4 linked regions of the Pelodiscus sinensis genome follow. The protein of the gene in region 3 interacts with the protein of the main gene of each other region in a pairwise test. Links are inferred from orthologs where the notes say so. Each region holds a gene or a part of one and is shown on either strand. Other genes may lie near its edges. The genes, in order: BTBD6, PARK7, DAXX and ETS1.

Region 1 (7,683 bases), on a different chromosome or scaffold from region 3:
TGCCTTTGCAGGACTGAGGGATCATTTAGATCCAAACATTTTAACGTTCACTGGTATAACAACATGTATATTAGCTTATGTATCTTTGTACCTAATTGAAAATTACCCTTTCAAACACAATGAGTCTGTTTAAAAACAAAACATTACTACAAAAAATCTACATGTATCTCCAAACGTAACCAGCTACTTTTCCTTAATCAAAATTCTAATCACAGATTCATGCTCCAGCAATGCAAAAAGTTGTTCATCACGCACATTAGAGCCCATGTAAAATGTCATTGACTTCAATGAAGCTAAGATTATTTACACCTAATGAGTATCTGCTCTTCAATGTATAATTTCAAATTTTAGTATTATCAGCAGCAGTCTAATAAAACAGCAAACCGCTGTCTGTCTGGGTAGTTGCTTTACCTAACCTAAACCAATTTTTAGTTTATCAAACAATATTTTAAAAGCTATGCTCTATGTATGTTTACTCTCTTTTTCTGGGGGGTATCAATTCCTCATTTCCTGCCAGCCTCTTATCACTTGACCCAAAATCTATGGGATATGGTAAATTGTTAACTGTTACACTCAATTCAATTTCCTTAGATGATTCCCCATTTGGGCACTTGAACTGATGAAGATGGTATTTCTGCTGAAAAAAAATTCAATTGTCTTACAGATTTGCATTAATCAAACCAGTTTCAATTTTACCATTAAGGTCAAATAATGGATACCCTATTGCAATTTCCATTTACCAGGATTGCACTACATACTGACAGACTTTCAGACTCTCGATTTAAAACACTGCATATTTTACTTTAACGCAAAAACATCCAGACAAATATTTTTCCCCAAAGAAAAAGTTTACAAAATGCAATTACCTAGTAAACATGATTATAAAAAATAAAACAAAATAGAAATATTAACTCCTTAAAGGCAATTAGTAAGGAAACCAAGTCATTCCCACTGTTCTCCAGTCATCATCCATATCACATGTAATATCCTGGACTTCTAATTGTATGTATTTTAAGGTACCTATCACCAAAATCTGAAAGAACACGCTAGGGAAATCAACTTTCAAATCCTTCAATTAAAATAAAACAACCATCATGATAAAGGTGTTTCAAAACTATTGTCTCATTTCTTTAAAAAAAAAAATCTATAGTTAACAAAAAACTAAAGAATTGTAAGTCAAACAATACAAAATAACTCTTTAAAGTAAAAACAAATTTCCCTAGTTTTTTAAATTTCCAATTTCCCTTTTACAATATTCCTAAACAACAAACATATTATGATAATGAGCTGGCAACTTCAAAATCTTCCCAGATTTACTTGGCAAGGTTTATACAAAAGGGGTCAACTTCAGTGGGAGCTGGGCCACTCATCACCTCAAAGAATCAAAGCTTCAAATAAGGGGAGGATTTTTTTTTATTTTAAATTCTTCAATGCACTTTTTCTCTATAATTTCTGTATTGTAGCTTTTAAGGAAATTATGTTGGCATTGATGCCCACAGATTATTTGATAAACTAGTTTACGCTAGATATTATTAATTTAAATCTTTAAAACTAGGAAAACAATTGGGATCTTGAAAAGTAGCAAATGCAAATTACGTAAGCAAAAATAAAAATTGAACAGAAAAGCTCTCCACCAACTGGCTGACCATAAATGGCTGCAATGCAATACTTGGAGTATCAAAATTAAACTAAGTCTAGGGCTTTTCCTTATTTTCTCAGCCTCTTAATTTTCACATATTGCGCAGGACACAGCACACCAACACCACTTGGGGGATGTTCCACTCGCCAAGGTCCAGCCAGGTGAGGAGGCAATGGAGCCCCCCACCTTTGAGATGCACGAAGGCGCCCTCCACCACCATGTGAACTCAGCTGAGCCTAGTGTTACACTGTTCCGTGGCAGGCTCCAGGTGTCCAGTGCAGGGCTTCATAAGCCATGGGAGCAGAGGGTAGGCAGTGTCCCCGACTATGCACATAGACATGTCCACATCCCCCATCCTGATGGTGCAGTCAGGGGAAAAAGTAATGGCGTGCATCTTTTGGAACAGGCTGGATTTCCTAAAGACATGGGCATCGTGCTTTCCCCAACCATCCAACATTAATGTCCGTGAAGCAACCCTGGTGGTCCACGACAGCCTGCAGGACCATAGAAATGTATCCCTTGTGGTTAATGTAGTCGGGTGCCAGGAGGCATACCTGGGAGGTCGACAAATGCCTTTGATGTCGACCGCGGAGCGTCCAGACTTCCGCGCTGAGCCGACAAACAGCTGATCAGCTCAGCGCAGCAGCCATGTAAATTTAAATGAAGCAGCAATTATTTAAATCGCCGCTTCATTTTTCTATACCGGGTAGTCTAATATACATGTCTCTGTCGCCAGAGGCATGTTGTCTAGACATACCCCAGGAGACACATTGTGAAATCCAAGAGCTGGTGACTGCTTTCCAGCAGGTTCCGCTCCATGGCAGAAGTGCTGTAGTGTCCACAAGAGCAACCAGAGTAGGCAGTGGAACGGGTTTGCTGTCCCTCAAGGAGGTAGGCAAAAGAGAGGAGCCTGGGACACAGCTATGGGGGGGGGGGGGGGGTGAGGAGAGAGAGAGGCACAAGCCTCAGCTAACCTCAAGCACAAGCCTCAGCTAACCTCAAGAAGCAGACACAGGAAGTGTCCTGATGCCCTGCCCACAGCGATTCCAGGGGACTTTAAATGCAATTGAGGCTCCAATGGGTATGAAAGCTCTACTTGGAAATAGCTCAGCATTATTTCAACAGGCATTTGCTGTGTAGACACACTATTTCGAAATAAGCTATTTCAGAGTTTTTCTTCTGAAATAGCTTATTCCAAAATAAGCATGCAGTGTAGATGTACCCTATACAGAACCCTGTGGACTTCAGGGGGAATTCCATGCATTTGCAGGGCCATTCTCAGTGCAGCAGCTTGAAGGATCAGGGCAAAAGCTAACAGTTTTGTTTATTTATGCTGCTAATCAGTGTGCACTCAGAAAGAACTTCATACACTTGAGAAAGTTCCCCCCACACCCTTCCTTCCTAGCCTACCTTTATAGGACACCTCAGCTTTCAAAATTATTAGGATGAAAAAATGCAAGACTCGTTTGATCATACAAAACAGAGTGTATAAAGGTATGTGTGGCCTGTGAACAATTGCTGCAATACCCTGTGCTTCTGGATGTTAATAACATAACACTTCCAGAAATCGCTTGTTTCTCTACAATCCGACACCAGGGCAAAACCCACCGAAAAAAAGGATAAAACTCAAACAGACACTCTCAGGAGCCGGAGTGTCAGCCTAGGAGCAGAAGGCCTGTAGCTGAGGAAACAACCAACAGGTTGAGAATTTAACCTAAAGCAAACTGTCCACCAGTTGCCTTTCCTACTGCAACCCCACTCTTACATACTTGGGGAGTATGCACGATACCTTAGCTTCCACTAATCCGAATTTAGCCCAAAGGTCTGCTACAGCGCTGAATATCCCTCTTTGCTTTTACCCCCGGCGCAGCTTAATGTCTTGTCTGTACTCCTGTTCCTCCTAAAAGTTCAAACGCTGGAGGCAGAACTGGCCTGACAGCAAGCAGCTTTGCGCGAAAGGCGGCTGCAGAAGGCCTCGGGGCGCCCTCGCTCGGTCCGGCTGAGAACTACTGGCTGCCCAGCAACAGGATCTCAGACCCAGCCCCCTCCCGGTTTCCAACCATTTCCATAATCATGGCTTCTGACTCCATGGAGCAGCCTGCCGTGCAAACTTTCCCAGCTCGGTGTGGGCGGAGGGACGCCTGGTGAGGGCAGCAGGTACAGTAACTCTGACTTTTTGTGTGGTCTGGGACCGGCTGGGTCCCTGCAAGATCCCCATCCTCTCCCTTGGCAGCGGCGGCAGCAGCTGAGTTCCAAACTGCAGTGCTGCTGTGCCTCTGCGTGGCATTTCTGCCTGGATTGCTAGGGCTCCCACTCTGCAACATGTCAGACTTGCTCTGCTGCTGCAAGTAACGCCCGGGGTCCGAAAGAAAACAAAAGCCCCGCAGGCTCTTGTGTACACGGGCTGGGGGTGGGGAGAGGGAGAGGGAGAGGGAAGCGGCTTTCAGGAAGAAAAGTCGCTCCGATCGGGAGCTCTGCCCCATCTGTTTACTGCCTTCCTGATTCACCTTGGCTTAGCATCAAAGCCCGAGACCAGCCAAGCTGAGAGCTGCTCTCGGGAGGGGGAGGCGCACCGGGGAAGACGCTGCAGCGGGGAGGACAGGGGGGGCTTTCGGGGAAGTTTAACGCAGACTGCGAATCTCCCGTGGGTCTGGGTTTACTTTTGCAGAGGGCTGGAGGGAAGTTGGCGGAGTAGGTCCCCACTGCACCAGGAAGGGAGGGGGCTAGTGGAAAGCGGGGGGGGGGGGTGAATGTTGGGGCATCGCTGCGTTTTGCTCCATTGCAGCCTTTCCTGGGCGGTACATTTTGGCTCCCTGTAATTTTCCCAAGCGGCTGGGGCTCGGGAGGGAGCGAGGGGGGCGAGCTGGTGGGTGAGTAGGAGGGAACGGAGAAGAATGACATATTGTCTGGGAAGGGAGGGAGCCCGGCCTCCCCGGGGCCCGGGCCCCGCCGCTCCCCATTGGAGCAGGCGGCGTGACGCGCGGGGCCGCGGCTGGCTATTTGAGGCAGGAGGCGGGGGGAAGCAGGCACACGCACACACACACACCCCGAGGAGTCGCGCACACGCGTGCTGACACGGGCGCCCAGCCCCGCTGCTGGCTGAAGCTGCCGGGCTGCAGAACCGCAGCCGCGCAGGAAGGGAGGGAGGCGGCAGCGCCTGCTACTCGCCGGGGAGACGTGCCGATCGGCCCTGGCCTTTCAGACGCATCCTCCGGCCACGGTCGCTGCGCTGGGCACGGACCCTCACCCCGGGGGCATCTAAGCAGAACTGAACCTGGGAAAGTTTTGTTCCACTAGCAGATCGGCGGGATTTACCGCATCTGCAGCCCCTCGTCTGAGGAGGAATTACAAGATGCGTACTGGGAACTGAAGGCAGCGTTTGTTCGGCCCTTGTTTAAATACCGTGGCTGGGAAACTCTTGAACTTGCTGGTCTCTCCAGATCTTTAACCCTTGCACGGGAAAAGGATTCGAGTTGCCTCTCAAAGAGGTATCAGTGATTGGCAGCAGCTCAGCGCTGGCTGGGTTTTAACTCTTGGAAGATTTCTGTATTGACTCTGCTGCTTCTCCTTTTCGGTAAACTCTTTGCCTGCATGATCCCTGCTGGGGTCTTCCTTTGCAATCCTGCCTTTGATCTTTGAGGCTGGGACCTTCTTCAAGCAAAGGTGAGCACTGGCTCGGATTCATTAGGGCACCGTATTGCCTCACAGACAAGGTGCTTTGGGCTTTTGAGCAAAAGCCGCAGTTTAAAATCATAAGTATCCAGGTAAAGGGACCTGACTTTAGAAAAGCTGTTCCCTTGCTCATGCCACTGCCCCATGACTGCCTCAATGGCAGGATCATGAAGTGTTTGACTTTCTTTCTTCTGCTTCCAGAGACCTTAAAGAAGTCCAAAAAGAGTGTGAGGTCAAACAGCAAGGTGCCAGCATGCTATGAGATAGTGCCCTTGTCCCTGAAGAAGAAGATGGCTGCAGAGCTTTACCCTGCCAGCACGAACACCAATATTGCAAACAGTAATAACGCTGCTGCTGCCACTGTCGCTGCTGCTGCCAACAGCAAGAAAAACGCCTTTCAGCTTCAGCAGAGTGCCCAGCCTCCTCCACCACCGCAACTGCAAAACCTTAACAATAATAATTTGGAGAGTTCCAACTGGCAGTCCTTCCACCCCACTCTGCGGGAGAGGTAAGAGCCAGACCAGCCAGAGTGCACAGAGCCTGCCTGAGCAGCCCTTGCTCTTCACCCCATCCCCCTCCCAGCCTGCAAGAGAACTTTGGGGAGTTAGTCCCATGGCAATTCCCCCTCCCTCTGGCAAAGGCACAGGATGGGTTGTTTAGCAACAAGCAGCCCTGTCCCCATGTCTCTTCTTCCTCCCCCCCATTGTTGGGTGAAGTCAGGTTTCTGAAGCCAAAAAACTGAATTGTAGCCTCACAGCCACAACACACATACACCCTAAGGTGGAGCAAGTTCAAGTATTGCAATTGCACACTGGCCACCTTCTGCCCTCAAGTCTCACTTGTGAAATCTTGCACAGTGAGAGAAGGTATCCCACTGTGTCCCATTATACCAGCTGTAGCAAGGGGATGGAGTAGAGGGACTGAAAAAAGGGATAGATTTATGTAGCATTAGCTCAGTCCGTGGCATCAGGTAATACAATTGGCAAATCTAATTTGGTTTCTCCCTTCCTGTTACTTTCAGGAACGCACTGATGTTCAATAACGAACTCATGGCTGATGTGCATTTTATCGTAGGTCCCTTGGGGGCCTCAAAGAAAGTTCCAGCCCATAAGGTTTGTGCATCTGATTTTTTTCTCCCCCCCCCCCCCCCCCCCTCCTCCTGCTAGGGCAGTGGAGTTAATACAAATATTATTAGACAAGTTAACTCAAATTATTCCTTTATACCTTAATTCTAATGGGACAATTTAAAGGATTTCTGTTTGAACTGAAGCTTTTAAGTTTCCCTCAGTACCTCTTCTGCCTGTTAGTATGAGATTACTACAGCTATATGCTACATTTTGTTTTTGTTTTTTAACAGTATGTTTTGGCAGTCGGTAGCTCTGTCTTCTATGCTATGTTTTATGGGGATCTTGCAGAGGTCAGATCTGAAATCCATATACCAGATGTGGAACCTGCAGCCTTTCTAATCTTATTAAAGTAAGTGGTCATTACAAGTCTACAAATTATACAGAGACTAAAAGTGGTTTATTTAAAAAAAAAATCTTTAAAATCTTCTAAACAGCCTTTAGGAATGTGCAGGTATTACACTTTATTAAATGTGCTGATAAATGTCAAATTATGGACATTACTACTTGTCAGGACAATTGTAGCTTAATCTCTCACAACCTATGTCGCTTTTAAAAATACTTTTTTTTTTCCTGTTTAGGTATATGTATAGTGATGAAATTGACCTGGAAGCTGACACAGTGCTTGCTACCTTGTATGCTGCCAAGAAGTATATCGTCCCAGCCTTAGCAAAGGCTTGCGTCAATTTTCTGGAGACTAGCTTAGAGGCTAAAAATGCTTGTGTTCTGCTGTCTCAGAGCAGACTCTTTGAGGAGCCAGAATTGACCCAGCGCTGCTGGGAAGTAATTGATGCTCAAGCAGAAATGGCATTGAAGTCAGAAGGCTTCTGTGAAATTGATCAACAAACACTTGAGATCATTGTAACCAGGGAAGCACTAAATACTAAGGAGGTGGTAGTTTTTGAGGCTGTTCTTAATTGGGCAGAGGCTGAATGCAAAAGACAAGGGCTACCAATTACACCAAGGAACAAGAGGAATGTATTAGGAAAAGCTTTATATTTGGTGCGAATTCCCACAATGACTTTGGAGGAGTTTGCCAATGGAGCTGCTCAATCTGATATCCTTACCCTTGAGGAAACGCATAATATATTCTTATGGTATACAGCTTCAAATAAACCCAAGCTAGACTTTCCACTGACAAAAAGGAAAGGACTTGTACCTCAAAGATGCCATCGATTTCAATCATCTGCATATCGTAGTAACCAATGGAGGTACAGAGGTCGCTGTGACAGTATCCAATTTGCTGTA
Region 2 (7,314 bases), on a different chromosome or scaffold from region 3:
TTTGGATGCATGTATGCCCTGCCAATCAGCATTATATGTAAGTTACTGCCTAAATAAAATAGCCTCCAAGCATGAAGAGCAAGGTATGATACAAAGGTTACATCTAGACTACATGCCTCTGGCGACAGAGGCATGTAGTCTAGACGTACCCAAAGTCCCAGAGGGGTAGCCATATTAATCTGTATTTGCAAAAACAATGAGGAGTCCTGTGGCACCTTAGAGACCAAGGGTACGTCTAGACAGCAACACTATTTTGGGATATGTCCGGTATCCCAAAATAGCATTTTCTGTGTCTTAACAGAATGCCCATTATTTCAAAATGCAATCGAAACAACGGGCTTGCTATTCCGATGTACCGGTAAGCCTCGTTCTAGGAGGATTAAGGGACTTGTCAGAATAGCTGTCTATTTCAAAATTGGCACTATCTTGAAATAAGCTCGAAATAAGCTATGCAATTTGTGTAGCTCAAATTGCATAACTTATTTCGAGTTAGCGCTGCTGTGTAGACACACCATAACAGATTTATTAGTGCATAAGCTTTCATAGGTAAAACCCACTTCATCAGATGAATTGGAATAGAAATAAAGAGGAAGGTGGATGTGTCTCATTCAATAATTGATTTAAAAGCAGCCATCCTTCTACAAAAAAGACTTTAAAACCCAATTAAAAAGGGAGACTGCTCAACTGGATTTCATTTGCAAGTTCAATACAATCAATTTGGAATTGAATAAGGATCTTAACTGGTTAACACACTTCAAAGGCAATTTCCCCTCTTGATATTCACATCTCCACATAAAATGCTGCAAATGAGATACACCCACCCTGACATAAATCCTTATGAACATTGGTCATACATTTGACAAGTAACTTCTTTTGTTGTTCTTACATATACCCCTGCTTCTATTATTTCCACTCCAACTCATCTGATGAAGTGGGTTTTACCCACAAAAGCTTATGCCCTAATAAATCTGTTAGTCTCTAAGGTGCCACAGTACTCCTCAAGGTTTGAGACAGTACACACCACTTGTAGCTCATACAGGGCAGTGTTTTGCTATGAGTGTTTGACAGTTGACTGGGAAATCCCATGAACTGCATCACAGAAATTCAGCGGTGGGAGTGTTAATCACTTAATAGGTTGTTAACAGCCCCCATAACATTAAAATTATCATCATGAATTTTAACCTGTTCTCAAACGAAGAAAAATGAAGACGTCAGAACTATGATAAATTTAACTACGACTGATCTCAATTTCTGAATGACATTTTGTGGGCTGCAGTGTGACCCTTCATACAGAAATGAAACAGCTGATTTCCCATCACTAGGTTTAGCACATTTTTCTATGCAACAGCAGGACAGACTTAAGTGCATTGTGACAGCAAAAGTAAATCGAATAAACTTAATTTTACTAATTATATGTACATAACTGAAGATAATTATTACAGAACCATCATTGTTCATCATGTTTGGGATTACATGAGTTTAATGTGAATATTAATAGTAATTTACACCCACTATGCTGTGTCAGAATTAGTTCCGAACAATAATACTTTGCAATTACTTATTGCTCCTTAGACTAAATTCTGCCCTGATTTTCAGTCAATTGGGGTTGGTTCAATAAAAGATTTCACCTATCTTGCCTCAGTCAATGTAATGTAAGAACTTGGTCCTGCATTTTGAAAGTCCCAAGCCTTAGCCAACTGAAACGAAAAGTGGAAAGTGCTATAAAAATATAAACTAACATAAAGGAAAATTTTCAAGTAATTGATTTTATAGGGAATTTTCTAGCAGGTTTACTCTTCTTCTAAGGAAGTGAACAAAGGGATGCTCCTTAGAATTTCCAAGATAAATTAAAAAAAATTCATATAACAAGACTTCTCTCTCATGAAACAAGCACTTGACCATACACACAAAAATGTGGACACAGTTTGTTTTCAGCTGCTGTTTCTTCTGAGTTAAATTAATGATTTTAGAGTAGTGACCAATTTAGATGTTACAGGGTAATAATGGAAGGCTTCCAGAAATAATTTAACTGAGGAAAGGAAAAAGTCTGCTTCAGAACAGAATAAACATTATCATCATCAGGTTCCTGGAGTAGTATTAATACCTTCTCTGGAAGGGAGGGTTAGTGCTACCCTATATTAATTGCTCTGTGGAAGGTTAATTCTGTCCCCTATTAATCCTGTGCTGGAGTGGGTTGCAGATATCAGGGATTAGCTGTGACCCTATTGATGCCAACTGGGGGCAGTGGGGTGCTGGTGCTGTATAATGATGCTAACTTGAGGGCTGTGTGGAATCTATTGATTCTGTAGGGGTTAGTGCTGACCAGTGCTACTGAAGCCAACATGGAGGCAATGCATATCTATCTCTTATAGATTGGGAGGTAGTGCTGATCCATACTGATGCCAGTTCAGTAGCAGTATGGACCAGGTTCTTATGGATTTGGCAAAGGGTGAGTGCTGACCATTGCCACTGATGCTAATGTAGGGGCAATGCATATTGGTTCCCTATGGATTGGGGATAGTATTGACCCCCCATTAATGGCATGACAGCCTCCTATGGATTGGAGGTAATACTGACCTTGACTGTCGGTACCCTACCAGTACCCTATGGATGGGGCAGCGCTATCCCCTGTTGCGGGCACACTGGTCCTTATGGATGAGGATAGTGCTGTCCCCACCTGAGGGTATGCGGGGCCCTATGGATGGGGCAGCGCTGTCCCCTACTGAGGGCACACTGGTTCTTATGGATGAGGATAGCACTGTCCCCACCTGAGGGTATGCGGGGCCCCTATGGATGGGGCAGCGCTGTCCCCTGTTGCGGGCACACTGGTCCTTATGGATGAGGATAGTGCTGTCCCCACCTGAGGGTATGCGGGGCCCCTATGGATGGGGCAGCACTGTCCCCTATTGAGGGCACACTGGTCCTTATGGATGAGGATAGTGCTGTCCCCACCTGAGGGTATGCGGGGCCCCTATGGATGGGGCAGCACTGTCCCCTATTGAGGGCACACTGGTCCTTATGGATGAGGATAGCGCTGTCCCCACCTGAGGGTATGCGGGGCCCTATGGATGGGGCAGCGCTGTCCCCTGTTGCGGGCACACTGGTCCTTATGGATGAGGATAGCGCTGTCCCCTATTGAGGGTATGCGGGGCCCTATGGATGGGGCAGCGCTGTCCCCACCTGAGGGTATGCGGGCCCCTATGGATGGGGCAGCGCTGTCCCCTATTGCGGGCACACTGGTCCTTATGGATGAGGATAGCGCTGTCCCCTATTGAGGGTATGCGGGGCCCTATGGATGGGGCAGCGCTGTCCCCACCTGAGGGTATGCGGGGCCCTATGGATGGGGCAGCGCTGTCCCCTATTGAGGGCATGCGGGGCCCTATGGATGAGGATAGCGCTGTCCCCTATTGAGGGTATGCGGGGCCCTATGGATGAGGATAGTGCTGTCCCCTATTGAGGGTATGCGGGGCCCTATGGATGGGGCAGCGCTGTCCCCTATTGAGGGTATGCGGGGCCCTATGGATGGGGCAGCGCTGTCCCCTATTGAGGGCATGCGGGGCCCTATGGATGGGGCAGCGCTGTCCCCTATTGAGGGCATGCGGGGCCCTATGGATGAGGATAGTGCTGTCCCCTATTGAGGGTATGCGGGGCCCTATGGATGAGGATAGCGCTGTCCCCTATTGCGGGCACACTGGTCCCTATGGATGGGGCAGCGCTGTCCCCTATTGAGGGCATGCGGGGCCCTATGGATGGGGCAGCGCTGTCCCCTATTGAGGGCATGCGGGGCCCTATGGATGAGGATAGCGCTGTCCCCTATTGAGGGTATGCGGGGCCCTATGGATGGGGCAGCGCTGTCCCCTATTGAGGGCACACTGGTCCCTATGGATGAGGATAGCGCTGTCCCCTATTGCGGGCACACTGGACTCTGTGGTGCCAGCCCCCATGGACGGGGGCGGAGCCGGCCCCTGTAGCGGCTCGCGGAAGCCCCGCCCACTGCAGCCCCTGAGGATTCCCCGGGCGGGCCGAGCAGTCCCCCTCCCCCCGCCTGACTGCGTGAGGGGGCGTGGCTGCTGCGGAGGTGGTGTGACTCGAGCACGCTGCTGACGTCACTATCGCCCCCTCCCCTCCATGCCCTGCCGCGGGCCCGTCGGCGCCCCCTCTCCTGCAAAGGTCACGCGCTTCCTGGCAGCGGCCGGCCGTTATCAGCCGCGTGAAGGGCGCGAGCCGCCCCGCGGCCTGACGTGCGCGCGCTCCTCGCTGGCAGCAGCCCGGGACTGCGGCGGGCCGAGCGCCCCTCCCCCCTCGGCGGCGGCCTGCGCGGTCCTGCCGCCAGCTCGGAAACACGGGGCCCGTCAGAGACTAACCGCTTGGGGCACCCCGCCCCCGGGACAAGGAGCCCGCGCGCCGACCCGGGCAGGGTCGCTCCCTCCGGAATCTCCGGTCAGTCAGCGCTGCGGGGTCACGTGCGCACGCATGATGCGGAGTGTTGCAACCGGACAGCCTCTCCTACTTCCCCATTCCGTTAATCCCGCGAGTTACCGCTGCAGAGCCACAGCCAGCAGCGTGACCCCGCCGCGGGGGCCGGCCCTTGGGCTGGGTAACCCGTAGGGAGAGAAGCGGAGCCGTGTCAGGCTGGGGCAGCTGGACAATGCAGCACTGTAAAGACTAACACGATGGTTTATTAGGTGATGAGCTTTCGTGGGCCAGACCCACTTCCTCAGAGCAAATAGTGGAAGAAAGTAGTCACAGCCATATACACCAAAGGATACAATTAAAAAATGAACACACATGAAAAGGACAAGTCACATTCCTTTTCATGTGTGTTCATTTTTTTAATTGTACCCTTTGGTATATATGGTCAGGCCAATTTTCTTCCACTACTTGATCTGAGGAAGTGGGTCTGGCCCACGAAAGCTCGTCACCTAATAAACCATCTTGTTAGTCTTTACAGTGCTACATTAACCCATAGGGGTCTAGGATGGCTGTAGGCAGGTAATTAAGGACTTCAGCCACAGCATTACCCTTGAACATGTTTTTTCCCTTTGTTTCTACAGTCTGGAAAGATAGATTTAGAGTCCCCTTATGCTTCCTGATTTATAAACATGCTCATTTTGTATCTGAGAAAAATCAATAAGTATGCAATTACTCTTTGTTGTGCCTTTTACTTACTTACCCTCACTGGTGCTATATAAGAGATTTTCAGAGCTACATCTCTTGTAATCGCTGTAGCCTATTGATTTGGAAAGTTTGTAGCATAGGAAAGTGTTGATTTAATTAGAAATTCTGGAAATAGTAATCAGGGGCAGGTATTATAATATTCATCACCTGCTTATTAATATTCTTTTTTGTAGGCATTAACATTACTATTAAGGTTTTAGGGAAAGTAGTGATAGATGTGTGAATTAACATACTAAAATAGTTAAAAGGGTGTAATGGGTGCCAAAAACTGTTGCAGCTCAGATGTTGTGTTGAATGTCTGAGGTAAACATGTGTTTGGGCAATAAAGTGATTCCATTTATCTCATCTGCTCCTGGGTCACCTGTGGCTTCTCTAACACAACCCACTTCTTCAGATGAATGGAGTTTAAGGGGTCCAGTTTCCAAATAAATAGCAGAGAAAGAGAGGGGATGGGAAAGGAAAGGAGGAAAAAAATGGGAAAATGTCATGTCCATGCTAAATTGAGCCAAACTATGGAAAGGAAGGTTTCTGAAACTTCAAAGTTAATGCACAAATAAAATCACTTCTATCCATCAACCAAATAATAAGGATTTAAAAAAATAATTAACTCTGACCTTACATCACCACCCTTAGAAAACTAGAAACCAGGAATCCATACAGTCTTTAACCAATTGAAATTTTAATTGTATGGGTGATTCAGAAATCTGAGATAAGAGCTAAATAATCTATCTTTCTCATGTATTGATGTATAACTGTAGCAATGTAGTGCACCAGCATTGAAATGCTGGTAAGAGATGTTCACCACTCTACATCGTTATAGCAAACCAGCCTAAATGGCTTTAAAATTGTGCATGTCTTCTGATATAACAACTTCTGTATCTCTTTGCCATAAAGTTGCCACAAGACAATTGTTCTGACAGGCTGTGTCTACACTGGCACCTTTTTCCGGAAATGCTTAAAACGGAACAGTTTTCCGTTATAAGTATTTCCGGAAAAAGAGCGTCTACATTGGCAGGATGCTTTTCCAGAAAAGCCCTTTGGCCACGGACGCTTTTCCGGAAAATGTAGACGCGCTTTTCCGGAAAAAAGCCCCGATCGTCATTTTCGCGATCGGGGCTTTTTTGTGGAAAAACCTACTGTGCTGTCTACAGTGGCCCTTTTCCGGAACAGTTTTCCGGAAAAAGGACTTTTGCCCGAGTGGGAGCAGCATAGTTTTTCCGGAAAAGCAGCTGATTTCTTACAGTAAATCGTCGCTGCTTTTCTGGAAATTCAAGCGGCTGCTTTTCTGGAATAAGTGGCCCAGTGTAGACACAGCCACAGTATGTGGGGTTTTTCAAATGTAAAAGCATTTTCATTATGTAAAGATATCCATAACTGGGAATACCAATCTCTTAATGGTCAGGCTAAAAAAAGTCTGCTCCAAGTTCCAAAGTCCGATGGCTCGATTGCCCAACTACCCAGCTCAGTGAACAATAATGCGATATTAATCTCATGATCATAACTTTCACTGTTATGAGTCCCTGGAAAGGTCTTTGCTCATGTTCTAATTAGTCAACTAGTCCTTCACATCCCTATCTGATAAACATTTGCTTATCAGATAGTTGACAGGATAGTCGACTAGTCACTCCTTCCTTTGCCTCCCCTCCCCCCGCTGCCTCTATCAGATAGAGGTAGCAAAAGGGGGGGAGAAGAGGGGGCACTTCAAAGAAGCAGTGCAACTTGAAGCCTGGGACCAGACCTCAGGTTCCACGTGACGCTGCCACTTTGAAAAGCTGCATGCAGCCTAGGGCAGGCTGGGGTGTCCCCAGGCTGCACATGGTGTTTCAAAGAGGCAGCGCCGTGTGGAGCCTGGGATGAGAGTGGGGGGGGGGGAGTCCCCAGCTGGCCCCAGGCTTCATGTGGCTCTGCCGCTTTGAAACACCATGGGGAGTCTGGCCTCAGACTCCTCGTGGCATTTCAAAGTGGTAGTGTTGTGTGGAGCCTGGGATCAGCTGGAGACTCCCCAGCTGACCCTGGCTCTGTGCAGTGCTTCCGCTTTGAAACACTGCAGGGCATTCAGTGTCAGGTTCCTTACAACGTTTCAAAGCGGCAGCACCGCACAGAGTCTGGGGTCAGCAGGGAAGTCCCCAGTAGATC
Region 3 (7,136 bases):
CACGGTCACATACACAACAAGGGGGGCTCACAGGACAAACACGGTCACAGAGATGGCGGGGGGCCCCAAAGGACACAGACACGTCACACAGACAACAAGGGGGGGCTCACAGGACAAACACTGTCACAGAGATGGCGGGGGGGGCCCAAAGGACACAGACACGGTCACACACACAACAAGGGGGGGCTCACAGGACAAACACGGTCACAGAGATGGCGGGGGGGGGCCCAAAGGACACAGACACGGTCACACAGACAACAAGGGGGGGCTCACAGGACAAACACGGTCACAGAGATGGCGGGGGGGCCCCAAAGGACACAGACACGGTCACACACACAACAAGGGGGGCTCACAGGACAAACACTGTCACAGAGATGGCGGGGGGGCCCCAAAGGACACAGACACGTCACACACACAACAAGGGGGGGCTCACAGGACAAACACTGTCACAGAGATGGCGGGGGGGCCCCAAAGGACACAGACACGTCACACAGACAACAAGGGGGGGCTCACAGGACAAACACGGTCACAGAGATGGCGGGGGGGCCCCAAAGGACACAGACACGTCACACACACAACAAGGGGGGGCTCACAGGACAAACACTGTCACAGAGATGGCGGGGGGGCCCCAAAGGACACAGACACGGTCACACACACAACAAGGGGGGGCTCACAGGACAAACACTGTCACAGAGATGGCGGGGGGGCCCCAAAGGACACAGACACGGTCACACAGACAACAAGGGGGGCTCACAGGACAAACACGGTCACAGAGATGGCGGGGGGGGGCCCAAAGGACACAGACACGTCACACACACAACAAGGGGGGCTCACAGGACAAACACGGTCACAGAGATGGCGGGGGGGGGCCCAAAGGACACAGACACGTCACACAGACAACAAGGGGGGCTCACAGGACAAACACGGTCACAGAGATGGCGGGGGGGGCCAAAGGACACAGACACGGTCACACAGACAACAAGGGGGGGCTCACAGGACAAACACTGTCACAGAGATGGCGGGGGGGGCCAAAGGACACAGACACGGTCACACACACAACAAGGGGGGCTCACAGGACAAACACGGTCACAGAGATGGCGGGGGGGGCCCAAAGGACACAGACACGTCACACAGACAACAAGGGGGGGCTCACAGGACAAACACGGTCACAGAGATGGCGGGGGGCCCCAAAGGACACAGACACGGTCACACAGACAACAAGGGGGGCTCACAGGACAAACACGGTCACAGAGATGGCGGGGGGGGCCAAAGGACACAGACACGGTCACACACACAACAAGGGGGGCTCACAGGACAAACACGGTCACAGAGATGGCGGGGGGGGGCCCAAAGGACACAGACACGTCACACAGACAACAAGGGGGGGCTCACAGGACAAACACGGTCACAGAGATGGCGGGGGGGGTTCCGCACAGACGGCAGGGGTGGGCCCCAAAGGGCACAGACACGGTCACATGGACAGTGGGGGTCCCGCAGGACACAGACATGGTCGGGGAGGCAGTGTCATAGCCCAGGGCAGCAAGGCCATGTCTCAGGGCTCTTTGGGGAGCAGACCCAGCTCCGGAGAGAGGGCTTGGCCCCATCCCATGAGTGGCTGGAGGGACAGGACCTTGCTTCACAGGCCCAGCTCCAGGCACTGGAGAAGAGCCCCCTCCCCACAGCTGCGTCAGCCCTGAAGAGCTGCTCTCAGTCCTCACAGAGGCCACAAGCGATGGACTGCCTGCGTCGTGGGCCCCATGCGCCTCCCTGCCAAGCCCTTTTCTCAAGAGTGAGGAGTGGGCCGGGCTCAGACTCACCGACCAGGCAGGGTCAGTCCAGCAGACTTAGGCCCGACAGACCATACACCCCAAGCCCCCCAGGCTGGCTGGCGAGGAAAATGGGGCACTCTAGGGGCATCAGTTCCCATACAGCCCCAGAGGCGGGGCCTGGCTGGCTGAGCTGGGCAGAGAATATGGAGAAGGGATACACGAGGACATGGCTGAGGAGTTAGGCGATACATGGAGGGTGGGGCCCTGCCAAGGGCTCTCACCTCCTCAAAGAGCCGCTCGTTCTCAGCCTTGAAGCTGCCACCATCCTGCGTCACAGGCTCTGGTCTCTTGTCTGAGGCCCCGCTGGGCTGGGGGGAGGCAGGGGTGGGCTCTGGAGACGTAGCTGGGGGCAGCCCCTCCTCCTCATCATCCAGGACAATGATGTTGCTTGCCACTGCAGTGGCCATGGGCGCAGGTACCTGGCCAAGTTGGGGCTCAGAGCTGCGGGGCAGGCCTGAGGGCTGGGCGCATCCTGGGGGCAGGTATGGGGAGTAACCCCCGGTGCAGGTGGTCTGAGTCACACGCCGCAGTGCCTATGTGGGGAGATGAATTGGTGAGTGCTGGTCCCTACATCTCTTCTTCACCCCATGCGCAGCACCCACCCCCAATGCCAATTCTACTCCCGTGTCCCAGCCAGGAACCAGAGTTTGTCCTAGAGCCACCATCCTGGAATCCAGCGCCTGCCTCTCCCTGCAGCCTCATACACAGCCTCTATCCTGTGCCATCCCAGATCCCAACCTCCCCCTGCCTGCCGAGTACTCTTCCTAAATCACCATCGGCAGACTTTACACCCCCCAGAGGCACAGGCATCGTACCCACCCCGTACAGAGTCCCAGCATGCAGACAAGGGTCCAAGATACCTGGCTTATGGAGGCTCTATCTTCCAAGCACTGCTCCTGGGATCTCTCTGACGACACCAAAGGGTGCCCCTCCCCCCCCCCAGCAATCTCCTGCCTTGGGCCTCCAAACCAAAGGAAAACAGGGGTGGAAGAATAAGGACATACACAATATCTCCCACATGATGTATTATTTTGACAGCTGCAAGGTGGGGGACACACCTCAGAACTGAGCATGGACAAACCATCTGCCCAGGTCAAGAACAGCAAGACAGACTGGATACAGTCTCTCCCCACCCGAGTACCAAGGAAGTGTCTGCTCAGCTCCCCCCAGCCCTGCCCAGCACTGCCCCCAGTCTTGGCACTCACACACTGCCAAGAGGGACAGCTGTGATCCTCAGAACACAACTTCCCCCACACGGCTCCTGGGGCAGAGTTGTCAGCCAACATCCAATTCCGATCAAACACTGGCCCACGCCCAGGGAGACTACTCCCCTGGGTCTGGCCCTCAAGGTACAAACGTGTCCGTTACTGCCAACTGAATGGATCTCCCTTCAAGTCCCAGCCCTTTGGTCCTGGCAGATCTTCCTCCACTACACTGAAGACTCTATTGGCTTGTATGGAGGCACCCAGAGCCTGTTACCAAGACACTCCATTCATGGTCTCCTCCCAAAGCTAAACAGCTGGAACTCCTGGACCCTGGTTTTCCAGCCCTTCCTGTGGCTCCAGTTTTGCCACATCCATCCTGAACTGTGGGCTGCAGAGCTGGGCCCACGATGCTAGCAGCAGTGGCACCAGGGCTGGTGCAGAAGGAAAGTATCCCCTGTGCTCCTACCACACTCCCAGGTTTCCACATCCCAGGGGGCAGCCACCCTAAGAGCAAGTGTCAGGCTAGGAGCTCCAGGCCACTGATTATACACCCCCCCATCCCAGATTGATGGGCTGCCCCCCACTCCTGCCAGGCCCCCACCCCCATTTGCCCTGACCCTCCCTCAGTCCCACCACCATGCTTCCCCTCCCCCCTCTCCTTGCTCTGCCCCCCTCAGCCCCACCCCCCCAGCCCTGATTCCCCTCCTTGCCCCGCCCCTCCCTCAGCCCCACCCCCACGCCAAGCCCCCAGCCCTGATTCCCCTCCTTGCCCCGCCCCTCCCTCAGCCCCACCCCCACGCCAAGCCCCCAGCCCTGATTCCCCTCCTTGCCCCGCCCCTCCCCCACGCCAAGCCCCCAGCCCTGATTCCCCTCCTTGCCCCGCCTCACGCCAAGCCCCCCAGCCCTGATTCCCCTCCCCCACTCCTTGCCCCGCCCCACGCCAAGCCCCCCAGCCCTGATTCCCCTCCCCCACTCCTTGCCCCGCCCCGCCCCACGCCAAGCCCCCCAGCCCTGATTCCCCTCCCCCACTCCTTGCCCCGCCCCGCCCCACGCCAAGCCCCCCAGCCCTGATTCCCCTCCCCCACTCCTTGCCCCGCCCCGCCCCACGCCAAGCCCCCAGCCCTGATTCCCCTCCTTGCCCCGCCCCTCCCCCACGCCAAGCCCCCAGCCCTGATTCCCCTCCTTGCCCCGCCCCGCCCCACGCCCAGCCCCCAGCCCTGATTCCCCTCCTTGCCCCGCCCCGCCCCACGCCAAGCCCCCAGCCCTGATTCCCCTCCCCCACTCCTTGCCCCGCCCCACGCCAAGCCCCCCAGCCCTGATTCCCCTCCCCCACTCCTTGCCCCGCCCCGCGCCAAGCCCCCCAGCCCTGATTCCCCTCCCCCACTCCTTGCCCCGCCCCGCCCCACGCCAAGCCCCCCAGCCCTGCCCCGCGCACCAGGCCCCCCCGCCCCCGCGCGCTCACCCGCCTCTTGGGCTGCTTTCTCCGCCGAAGCCCAGCACCGGAAAAACCGCCTTCCCCTGCCGCCCGGACTGCGCAGCGCCGGAAGTGGCCCTCTCACCACTGGGCGCCACCATTGCGGCGCACGGAGAAGGGTTCCGGATCTCGGGTCCAATCAGAACTGGGCGCTGCTTCCGGTCTGGCGTCACGCCCATGACGTGACGCCGTCCAGTCGTAGTTATCGCCTTCGTCTACGGCCCCTACGCTACACTCCCATGGTAGCGGCCATTTTCCTGTACGGAAAATACCTTCGCTCTCTTACGCCACGTGACCTTATTTCGCCAGCCAGAGGCCTGGAATCAATTAAAGAGCCCACCCCTGCAAGGAGCTGGTTGGCCTGTTCCATTCCATTTATAGGGGTGCTGAGTTATTCTATTCCCTCCGGGCGCCCCTGAAGGAGAGGCCGGGCTGAACCCGAGGGGAAGTCGCACAACACGGACAGCACAATTCTAGCACGCCACCCACTTAGTGCGCACGCGCGGTCTGAAGACAGCCGAGTGACAAGATGGCATCTGACAGTGGCGTTTGCGCATGTGCAGCAGACACCGAGATGGCACCCCGGCTCGGTAGCCTACGGCATGCCCCTTCCACGCATGCGTGGTTGTTCCGTACGCCACAAGTCTTCCCTCGTCGCTGCAGCTACTTCCGGGTTACCGTCAGCAGCCTGTATGCCGTACACGATGGCGGCCCCCAGAGGCCGCGTATGGAAGGGGAAGCGATCATCGATGCGCCCGTAGCAGATCGCTGGCGTGTAAGGGAAGGTGCGGAGAGTGGGTGGCTGGGTGGGCGGCCGGTGGCGTGAACATGAACAGCTGTTATTCCCCCACCCCCATCGTCGCTGGGGGAGGTAGAGAGGGGCTGACCACTGAGGCGCAGGAGGTGGGACAGGAGGCTCATGGTCTAGCTGCCAGCACTTCAGCCAAGGCCCAGCTGGCAACCACATCAGACAACCTTCCCCCCCACACACTGCCCCTCACCCTGTCCCCCACACAGCCAGCAGCTGCAAAACATGTTTTATTTACAAGACACTCCCCCCCACACTCCATACCACTATTAAAAACCAAGAGCATCTCCTCCCCCCCTCCGCTACAGCTTCCGGTGCTCACTTCCTGTTCACATGGGCTGTCCCGATGACACATTCATTCACCTGCAAAGGGAGAGAAGTGAAAGTGGGGGAGGGAACAGGGGATACACCACTGCCAGACAGCAGTGACACTGGGGGGGATGTAACACAAACAACCCCCTTCCCTTTGGTTCAGTTCTCCCCTCCTCTCCCCGCCCCACCACACAAACTCACTTTGCTGGCAAAGCGCAGAGAGTTGAGAGACTCTGAGAAGTTCTCCTCCAGGGGGGAGATGTTCACAAACATCAGCCTGGGGGCATGGGAAAGGCAGAAGTTAGAGCAGAAGCCCATTATCTGCTGTCCCAGCCCTGTTCTTCAACTCCCACCCCATCCTGCCCCATAGCCCTGCCCCTCACCCTATTATTCCCACTGCCCCCCCAATGTTACTCACATCTTAGAGTTTCCCCCCAGCGAGTTCTGCAGCAGGTAGGTGAGCTTACTGTTCCGGTAAGGTATATGGGGCTCCTGCAGAGTGGGAAGAGGCATGTTGGTCCTCTGGCCAGGGAGATTCCATAGCATGTACTTCAGACAGGCCTCCACCTCTCTGTGGCTCCCCTCTCCCAGTCAGGGAGAGAGCAGATACAGGGAGGACCAGTATTTGGATTGTGATGCACGTATGTGGTATGTGTCACTGTCTTCAACACTATGACTACTGGGCCAGGGAGGCTGCTGCTAATGGTGCATGGGATATCTGAGCTGTTACCTTGTTAGAAAGTGCCATGATGACCAATCCCAAGGTAGAGAGGCTAGTGTTGATGGCTTGGGTCTCCTTCAGCCGCTCCCCCTTGGAGAAGGACTTGTCCAGTCGCTCACTGCCTGCCAGATCCACCAGGCTTAGCACCGCTGCAATGAAAGATGAGGGACTGAACATGGGACAGGCGAAAGGGCACTCCATCCAGTAAGGCTGCTGACCCCAAGTGGTCCTGCCAACCAATCTCCTCAAGCTCTGCTTTCAAGTTATTGTTTAGCTGCCCCAGCCTCCTCCTGCCCCACTCACAGCTACTGTGCAAGTCCCGGCTTGGGTTCCAGCCCTCGATGCGTAGCTGGAAAAGGCTGTGGCTGCGGGAGGAGTGGTCATTTAAAGCTGTCTTTGCCACAGAGCGGTTGGCCTTGGCTGTTCGCAGTAGCTTCAGCACCTGGGGGATACAGGATGTGTTTGCAGGGGTCAGAACTGCTCCCAAGCTCTCTGGCTCAAGCATAGCTACATCTTAGCTCACCTCATCCTCGGAGTTCACGGGCACATAGCGCAGGTTGGGCACATGCAGCTCTTCACTGCTCTGGCTGACCCGTTTGATCTCCAGTTCGGCACTCCGCTCCGGCCGTCCCACCAGTAGGTCCCGCAGCGACTCATTATAGATCTCCAAGAAGTTGGCTGTGAAATGGTACTGAGGTGTGGGTGGGAAACAAAATCCAGATCAGTGTCATGAGAACAGGTGTGGAACCAGGGATGCTGCCAGGATTCGGGGGGTAGACACAAAGGC
Region 4 (7,647 bases), on a different chromosome or scaffold from region 3:
GATAAACAAAGATTAAATGACTTGACCAAGGCCAAATAGCAATTTAGTGAGTTGTCATGGGTAGAACCTGGTATCTTGACTCCCACTCTCCTATGTCAAACACTACAATATGAAATGATTATGTCAGTTGGTTGACTTCAGCAGGTTTTTCCACCACAGAGAGGTTCCTGAAGGGAAGGTTCATACAATCTTCTCATGCAGAGTAAGGTAGTTATTGCAGTAGGGAGCTACAACTTAAGCAATGTTTGTGGCACCGTAATACCTTGCACTCCCTACAGAACAAATTGGACTCTTAACTTAAGCCAAGATGAGCTAATGCTGGCACACAACCCTTCCCCCACTCCCTGCCCCCATTTTTGGGAAAAGTGCCTTCTGGTTAAGAATTCTCAGATTCTATACCTACCTCATTAGCCTTTGACAAAATTACTTCTCGGCAGCTAATTCCCTAATTTGATTTGAATAGTGGCCCCATTAACAGCACTGCAAGCCAGTTGGTAAACTGACAGCTGGAGGTCATTTCAGGGGCACCCAACGCTAGCCAAACACTTTGCTGATTAGGCAGGCACCTAACCCAAAGAGGTTGCTGCTGTTACATCTTTTGCAGCTGCTATATATGAAATTGCAGGAAGATGCAGAGGGGGCTGGGGCTGGGACAGGGAGAGTGAGGTCATTTGTTATTCCACGCCAGTGTTTCCAGCAATGAAACAGTTGGTTGAAAAAGCATCCTGGGTCAAATCTGCAGCTGGTGTAAATTGACGTAGTTCTTTTGTGGAGCTAGGTTCGTTTTCAGCAGCTGTTGAAATGCTAAGGAAAATGGCCCAGTGGGGAAGGTGGCTATCCTGGAATGTGAAGAACCTATGTCCAGTTTGCTATGCTGCCACAGAGCTGGAGCAAGTCACCTTGAGCCAGATGGTTAGATGTATTGAAATGCCTCAAGGCATTTTGTGGAAATTTAAAAGTGAGACTTTTGAGAGCAATTGACTCCCACGAATGAGGCACTCAGCATCTCTAGGCACTTAAATACATCTAACAGGAGTCTCAAGTGGGAGCAGAAAAAGTCTTTGTTACCTCTGTATTTGTGTAACCATCACCAGGTGGATTTGAACCTAGGACCTCTGAAGCTGAGTATAGAAAACTCTACCCTCTGAGCTAAAAGCCAACTGGTACAACTGCAATATGGTGTCTAGGTCTGATGCAATTTGAGAGGGAGGTTGGTATATTGGGGGTGGGTTCAGAGAAGAACCACCAGAATGATTAAAGGATGGGGAAGAAAACCTCAGCATGTCAGGCTCAAGGTTCTCAGACCATTGAGCTTAACAAAGAGAAAGGTATAGGGGTGACAGTACATAGATGGTAAACTTGGTGACAGTACATGGATGGGAAACAAATATTTAATAATGGGCTCTTCAGTCTAGCAGAGAAAGATACAGCATGAGCCAACAGCTGTAAGCTGAAGCTAGACAAAGACTGATTTTTAAGGGTGAGGCTCAATTGTTTCATTGGTTAATTACAAAGGGTCATAATTGGGTTCTCCATCAGTGACAATATTTAAACCAAGATGGGATGGTTTTCTAAAGGTTCTGCTCTAGGGATCATTTGGGGGAAGTTCTCTGGCCTGGGTTATACCAGAGATCAGATTAGATGATCACAGTGGTCCTTTCTAGCTTTGGAATCTATGAATCTAGCTATATTGTGAGGCTCAAAGGTTGCAAGGTGCCTGTGTAAGTACCAAAGATAAACATCTCGAAGCAATCTGGCCAGGAGAGCTCTGAGCCATAACTGGTTAAACTCTTTCAGCACCAAGACTTTTATAATAAAAATCAAAGCCACTCAGCAATCTGTGCTTGGGCCAGCATTTCCTGTTGTTTAAAGCAAATGTTCCCATGTAACACCAAACTTGCTTTAGTAGAAAGTTTTTTAAAATGACAAGGGGGAGGGGGGAGATCAAAAACATAATAAAATCAGCATGGAATAAATACTCACCAGTAAACCCCTTCTGCAGCCCACCCCCTCTCCCTGAAGGTATCAGATGGCAGAGTCAGAGTCAATGGGACCTTAATAGCAAATTAGTGGCCACATGCAAAGCATCAAATTAAAGACTAATGGAAACATGGAAGACCTGACTCTGCATTTAGCAGAGGCTCAAAGCTCCCAGTGAGTTCCAGAGAGCCAGCGGGAAGGCTGGTTTTGCAAAGGATGTAGGATTCCATCCTGCATGATGTGGAATTGAAATCCTTGCACGGATAAAGTGTTTTCACTGTTCCCAACTTCAGCTGCTTTCAGAAGCAAAGAACCAAAGCTGGTACATGTCTGTGTTACATTTGTTTTTTTCCAGTAATGTAAGGGGGAAAGGAGGGGTACAAGCAATGTTTCCTACAAAGACAGAAATGGCCAAATTATTAGCTGGTGGAATCAGCTTCTCTACAAAAGTCAGTGGAGTTGCACTGATTTACACCAGATGAAAGTTTGGCACTAAACATTTTGCTGATTCGCCCCCTCCACTGTGGAAGAAAACTCTTTAACCCACTGAACAACAACAAAAATACACCAAATTAACAAAAATAATCTTGACTAGTCTGTCTTTCATTGTAACTTGTTCCAATACAGGTTCACTAATCATGCCAAGAGGCAACTTTCCACCCCACACAAGTAAAGCACCAATATTACCTTAACCTCATTTAATACAAAAAACATTTCAAAGGACCCTAAACACACCCAGATGGAATCAGCAAATAGATATATTTCAAATCAGCTAGGTGAAATTGCTAATGAAAAGAGAAGGAGTAAATATCCTAGCAGGTCACCAGCAAAGTAAATAGCCTGAAAATCAACATAAGGTAGAGTTTAGCATAGAGTCCAGAGCTTCACTTACTACTTTACTGAAAGACCAGAGAAAAGAGTTGTTTCCTCCACAGCTTCCCACACTTGTCTTAGGTCTCTTGCCAACTACCTGGTGAAATTCTCTGCACTAGAGCTAAAGAGGATGGAAATACCATAATGTTTCTAGCGGGGCCGCCTATCAAATAGAAAGGGGGTGTGGTCAGGACAGCAAACCCAGGGCGGCTGGAAAGGGCTAGCTTTGAATTAAGCTCTGACACAGCACCAGCAGCAGGGAAGGGAAGCTAGTGAAGCCACTACTGCCAGATGTGACTACCCACAATGTGAGCATGTTAAATTCCCACTTGTGTTCACAAGAGTCGGAGAAAGCCTCTGTCAGAATCTGTCCCAGGGAGAGGGATTGTGATATTTGCCTTCAGTGATTTGTGAAGCCTTTATATAATTTAATAAAACAAATTAGCTGAGGATCTCCAAGCACTTTCCAAGTATTAGTTGGTTAAGTATCACATCGTCACTGGGAAGTATTAATGCGTCCCTCCATGAGGCGGGGGGACTGGCTGAATGTACCTAGCGACACATTTCCACATTGGAATTCTTAAGTGAATTTTCTTCACTTATGTTCCAATACCATGATAACGGGCATTAATATAAGGAATTCAATGTGGACGGAATAGATTTTTACTACAGACAGTTCTTTCCTGTGAGTCTTGCCCCCTTGCTCAGTCTCTAACTGACTGCCAGATTTGAGGTTGGGAAGGAATTTCTCCCCTGCTCAGACCAGCAGAGACCTGGAGTCGGGAGAGGGGAGGGCTTCCTCTGCAGCATGGGGCAAGGGTCACTTGCTGATAAGAACTAGAGTAAATGGTGGATTCTCTGTCACTTGAAGTCTTTACATCACGATTCGAGGATGCCTCTACTGACAGACACGAGTTATATGGGCTTGTTGCAGGAGTGGGCGGGTGATAGGGTTACCAGGTGGCTTCCAAAAAAAATACCAAGCACACTTGATCTCAGATCAAGCCGGTGGCAAGCAGGGCTTGTAGAGGGGGTCGGGGGCAGCGAGGCTGGCCAGGGGAGAACCAACCAGCGGGGAGCAGGGCTGGCGAGAGTGGGGCTGGCTGAAGGGGGAGAAAGCAGGGGAAGAGAATAGGGCTGACCCAGGCGCGCACAGATCCCAGAGCGCTGCCTGTCCTGCGCTCGGTCCCAGCGAAGCACGAGCAAATCCGGCCGTGGGGATTCCATCTCGCCCCGGCCCTGCCCCACCCTCACGTAGTTGTGTATTGCCTGGCTGGTAGACACACTCACACAGGCAGTTCGCAACTACGTACGGATACTGCTAATAATAATGAACTTACCTAAGTAGAAAATACCAGACGTTTTATATGTCCAGTATTTCTCAATTTGTTTCCCAAAGAGAGCCCTCAAATACCGATCTGTCCGGTTCAAAACCGGACATCAGGCAACCCTAGCAGGTGGGGTTCTGTGGCCTGCAATATGCTGGATTTAAGACCAGATGCTCATGATGGTTCCTTCTGGCGTTAAAGTCTATGGGCCTATTATCAGTTTCCTGTGGAAAATCTCTAGACAATTTACTTGCTAGAACAATTTCAGAAGTGGCAAATTTTAATACTCATAGGAAATGAATTTAGAATTTACAGTTAATCATTATCCAGTCAGGAAACTGAAATATGTCATGTGACCCAGGTGTCCAGTCAAAGCAGCCTGAATATTGCATGCTCACGACAAACTGAATGAGATCAAGCTGCAGATCAAGCATTCTTTTGCAGAAATTATTCAGGGAAAAAAGTTTATCTATAGGGCTACGTCTACACTGGCCCCTTTTCCGGAAGGGGCATGTAAATTTCATGAGTCGTAGTAGGGAAATGCGCGGGGGATTTAAATATCCCCCGCGGCATTTAAATAAAAATGTCCGCCGCTTTTTTCCGGCTTTTAAAAAAGCCGGAAAAGAGCGTCTACACTGGCCCCGATCCTCCGGAAAAAGCGCCCTTTTCCGGAGGCTCTTATTCCTTCCTTTGAAGTAGGAATAAGAGCCTCCGGAAAAGGGCGCTTTTTCCGGAGGATCGGGGCCAGTCTAGATGCTCTTTTCCGGCTTTTTTAAAAGCCGGAAAAAAGCGGCGGACATTTTTATTTAAATGCCGTGGGGGATATTTAAATCCCCCGCGCATTTCCCTACTACGACTCATGAAATTTACATGCCCCTTCCGGAAAAGGGGCCAGTGTAGACGTAGCCCAGGGGTGCAGCTACACTGCACAGTAGCTCGAAATAAGAGCTATGCCCAATCTGAGTAAATACCCTCGTGACATGGCACATGTGTGCAGTGTACCTTATTTCAATCTTATTTTGAAATAGCTTATTTCGTAATTTGGTGCTGTCTACACAGCACCAAATTTCAAAATAACCCGCTATTCCAAAAAGTCCCTTACTCCTCGTGGAACAAGGTTTGCAGGGATGTCGGAATAGCGTGCCCATTATATTTCAAAATAACAGGATTTCTGTGATGACACGGGTAGCTATTTCGGCATACTCTGGTATCCTGAAATAACATTGCAATGTAGACGTAGCCTATGTGTTTCATGGCATCCATCACCGTAGCACCTAATCGCTTTCCAGGGAATTAAATATGCAAAGTGAAGTTCCTCGTGGACTTTACGGCATCTCATGCTCTTCTGGAATCCCTGCTTCTAGGAGGGGCTGTTTGTTCAAATACATACAGGAACAGATTTATGAAGATATTTTAGTATCTACAATAGGTACCGAGTAGGGTTTTCTATCTGCATCTTTAGTCACCTAAATACCTTTTAAATCAGGCCCCCATAATTTGTTGATTTTTTTAAACTTATGGGTGAAGTTTCTCTAAATAATGAATAAATTCTAGAAATCTGCTGATCTCAAAAGATTTCCACCCTCTTGGGCCGAGGTCCCATGAAGACAATTGGAACCATGAGATTTCAGGTTTACCAAGAGGAATCAGAAGATCAGCTCCTTTGGGGTTTTAAGCCTCAAATCCAACATCTCACCTAGCCCCTCAAATTCTAAGGGGTTCCATTTTAGCCCTTCCCTGCATTACTGAGAAATATGAGACAACAGGTGTCTTGATGGCACATTATCTGTGGAACTCACAGTCATAAGGAATGCATCATTCTTGCAGCTATTTTAGTCCGGGAAATCATTTACAGGGTTCCATATTCTAAGGAAGGAACCCAGTCTGCTGGACTTTGATAAAAAAAAAGGCTCTTTCAAATCTGAGCCAATAAGAATGGCATATATCCAACAATCAAAGTGTAATCTGGGCATCTCTTCCCGAGGCTGGAGGATGATGGCAGCTGCAAACAAGATGTCTTTAAGGTGTGGGGGAATGAGAGTTTATTTAACTATAGCAATTGATTATTTATATTAACAGTAGCATCTAGAGGCCACAAATGGGAGCATGGTCCTATTGTGCCTGGCATTGTACATATAACTAGGCAGAACCAGTGCCTGTTCTAAAAAGTTTTCAATCTAAATAGACAAAGGGAATATTATAATTCCTTTTTTGCAGGTAGCTTAATGTTAAACACAAACTCATAGAGAAAACCTGACTGAATCTAGCACTGAACCCAACTCCACTAAGTAATAGCCTACTGTTTAGCCACAAGTCCATCTTTCAAAGCAAGAAAAAGGAAGTACAGATAGCCCTCTACCACTGATGGGCTTCAAGGCTCCATCTATTCTGTACGTGGCACAGAGCCATATGCTGTGTCAGCATTTAATGAGCAGTAATCACTAATCAAGATACTAATTCATGACAGTGTCTCAAAAATGAATATCCACATCAATATTCTGCAGAGCCTTTTTTTGGTTTTGCTTAAGGGTTCTTGAGTATTGGGCACAAAAAAAATCTCTATTGGTTTTAGTCAGACATTTGTTTAATTTTTCTAGTACCCATTCCCAAGGCCTTTACGGGTGCGTCTACATAGCACCCTTACCTCGAAATAAGCTACGCAATTTCCTCCCCACAGAGAATGCGATTGGAAGGAGTTCCCCAGAGGAGAATGGGCTGGATCCTCAGCTGGCATGTCCTCCAAGAGAGGCGTGGCTTTGCTGCATGAGGCACCGGCAGCCTGCACGAGAATGAAACAATGCCGTAAGGAGAAGAGGGTAGCAGGCCCTTTGGTCGAGCAGACGCTATGCACCACTGGCTGGCACGATCCCGAAAGTATTCCTGGGCTGTGACAAATAAGCAATAAGCAATAGCTTATTTCAAAATTTGGAGCTGTCTACACAGTGCCAAATTTTGAAATAAAGCGCTATTCTGACAAATCCCTTAACCCTCATGGAATGAGGTTACAGAGATGCCGGAATAGCATGTCTGTTATTTCAAAATATATTTCAAAATCACGGGTGCATTTAAAGATGCGGAATTGCTCTTTCGGGATACTTCTGGTATCCTAAAATAGCCCCAGTGTCTAGACATGTCCTAAATATGCAGGGCCTGATCCTGCAATGCTCTAGGAAGTCAGGAAAATGGAGGGTGCTCAGCACTTCACAGGATCCCAATGATCCTTCTCCCATGTGAAGCCCATTGCCTCCAGGGGGGAGCCAGAAGAAACCCTGAGGGTCTGATTTTGGAAGGTGCTGAGTACTAGCAAAATTCCCTTTGAGTACCCTAGCAGCAGGGATGAATCATCCCTTGACTATGGCTAAAATCCTTCAGGGTACGTCTAGACTGCAGACTTCTTTCAAAAGAAGCTTTTTTGAAAGAGCTCTTCCGAAAAAACGTCTTCCAAAAGAGAGCATCCACACTTCAA

What was found.
Region 1: the proteins of DAXX (region 3) and BTBD6 interact in a two-hybrid assay, tested with the Homo sapiens proteins (2 studies listed by BioGRID and IntAct). The link is inferred for Pelodiscus sinensis from reciprocal best matches to the Homo sapiens genes DAXX and BTBD6.
Region 2: the proteins of DAXX (region 3) and PARK7 interact in binary tests that used the Homo sapiens proteins (3 or more experiments, as listed by UniProt). The link is inferred for Pelodiscus sinensis from reciprocal best matches to the Homo sapiens genes DAXX and PARK7.
Region 4: the proteins of DAXX (region 3) and ETS1 interact in binary tests that used the Homo sapiens proteins (3 or more experiments, as listed by UniProt). The link is inferred for Pelodiscus sinensis from reciprocal best matches to the Homo sapiens genes DAXX and ETS1.

What each region holds. Positions count from the first base shown.
Region 1 is NC_134714.1:16,046,048-16,053,730, reverse strand, and holds the start of BTBD6 (BTB/POZ domain-containing protein 6), read left to right. Parts: upstream 1-4,671; 5' UTR 4,672-5,442; coding exon 5,443-5,819; intron 5,820-6,332; coding exon 6,333-6,423; intron 6,424-6,668; coding exon 6,669-6,787; intron 6,788-7,016; coding exon 7,017-7,683. UniProt on the Homo sapiens protein: Adapter protein for the cul3 E3 ubiquitin-protein ligase complex. Involved in late neuronal development and muscle formation.
Region 2 is NC_134733.1:25,745,473-25,752,786, forward strand, and holds the start of PARK7 (Parkinson disease protein 7), read left to right. Parts: upstream 1-4,300; 5' UTR 4,301-4,440; exon of another isoform or gene 4,441-4,504; intron 4,505-7,314. UniProt on the Homo sapiens protein: Multifunctional protein with controversial molecular function which plays an important role in cell protection against oxidative stress and cell death acting as oxidative stress sensor and redox-sensitive chaperone and protease.
Region 3 is NW_027465970.1:5,383-12,518, reverse strand, and holds the start of DAXX (death domain-associated protein 6), read right to left. Parts: upstream 3,007-7,136; 5' UTR 2,903-3,006; coding exon 2,690-2,902; intron 2,363-2,689; coding exon 2,051-2,362; intron 1-2,050. Other genes in the region: kinesin-like protein KIFC1, read right to left, coding at 5,635-5,679, 5,830-5,905, 6,047-6,120, 6,359-6,498, 6,653-6,791, 6,873-7,040. UniProt on the Homo sapiens protein: Transcription corepressor known to repress transcriptional potential of several sumoylated transcription factors. Down-regulates basal and activated transcription.
Region 4 is NC_134736.1:10,752,169-10,759,815, forward strand, and holds the start of ETS1 (protein C-ets-1), read right to left. Parts: upstream 3,002-7,647; 5' UTR 2,873-3,001; intron 1-2,872. UniProt on the Homo sapiens protein: Transcription factor. Directly controls the expression of cytokine and chemokine genes in a wide variety of different cellular contexts. May control the differentiation, survival and proliferation of lymphoid cells.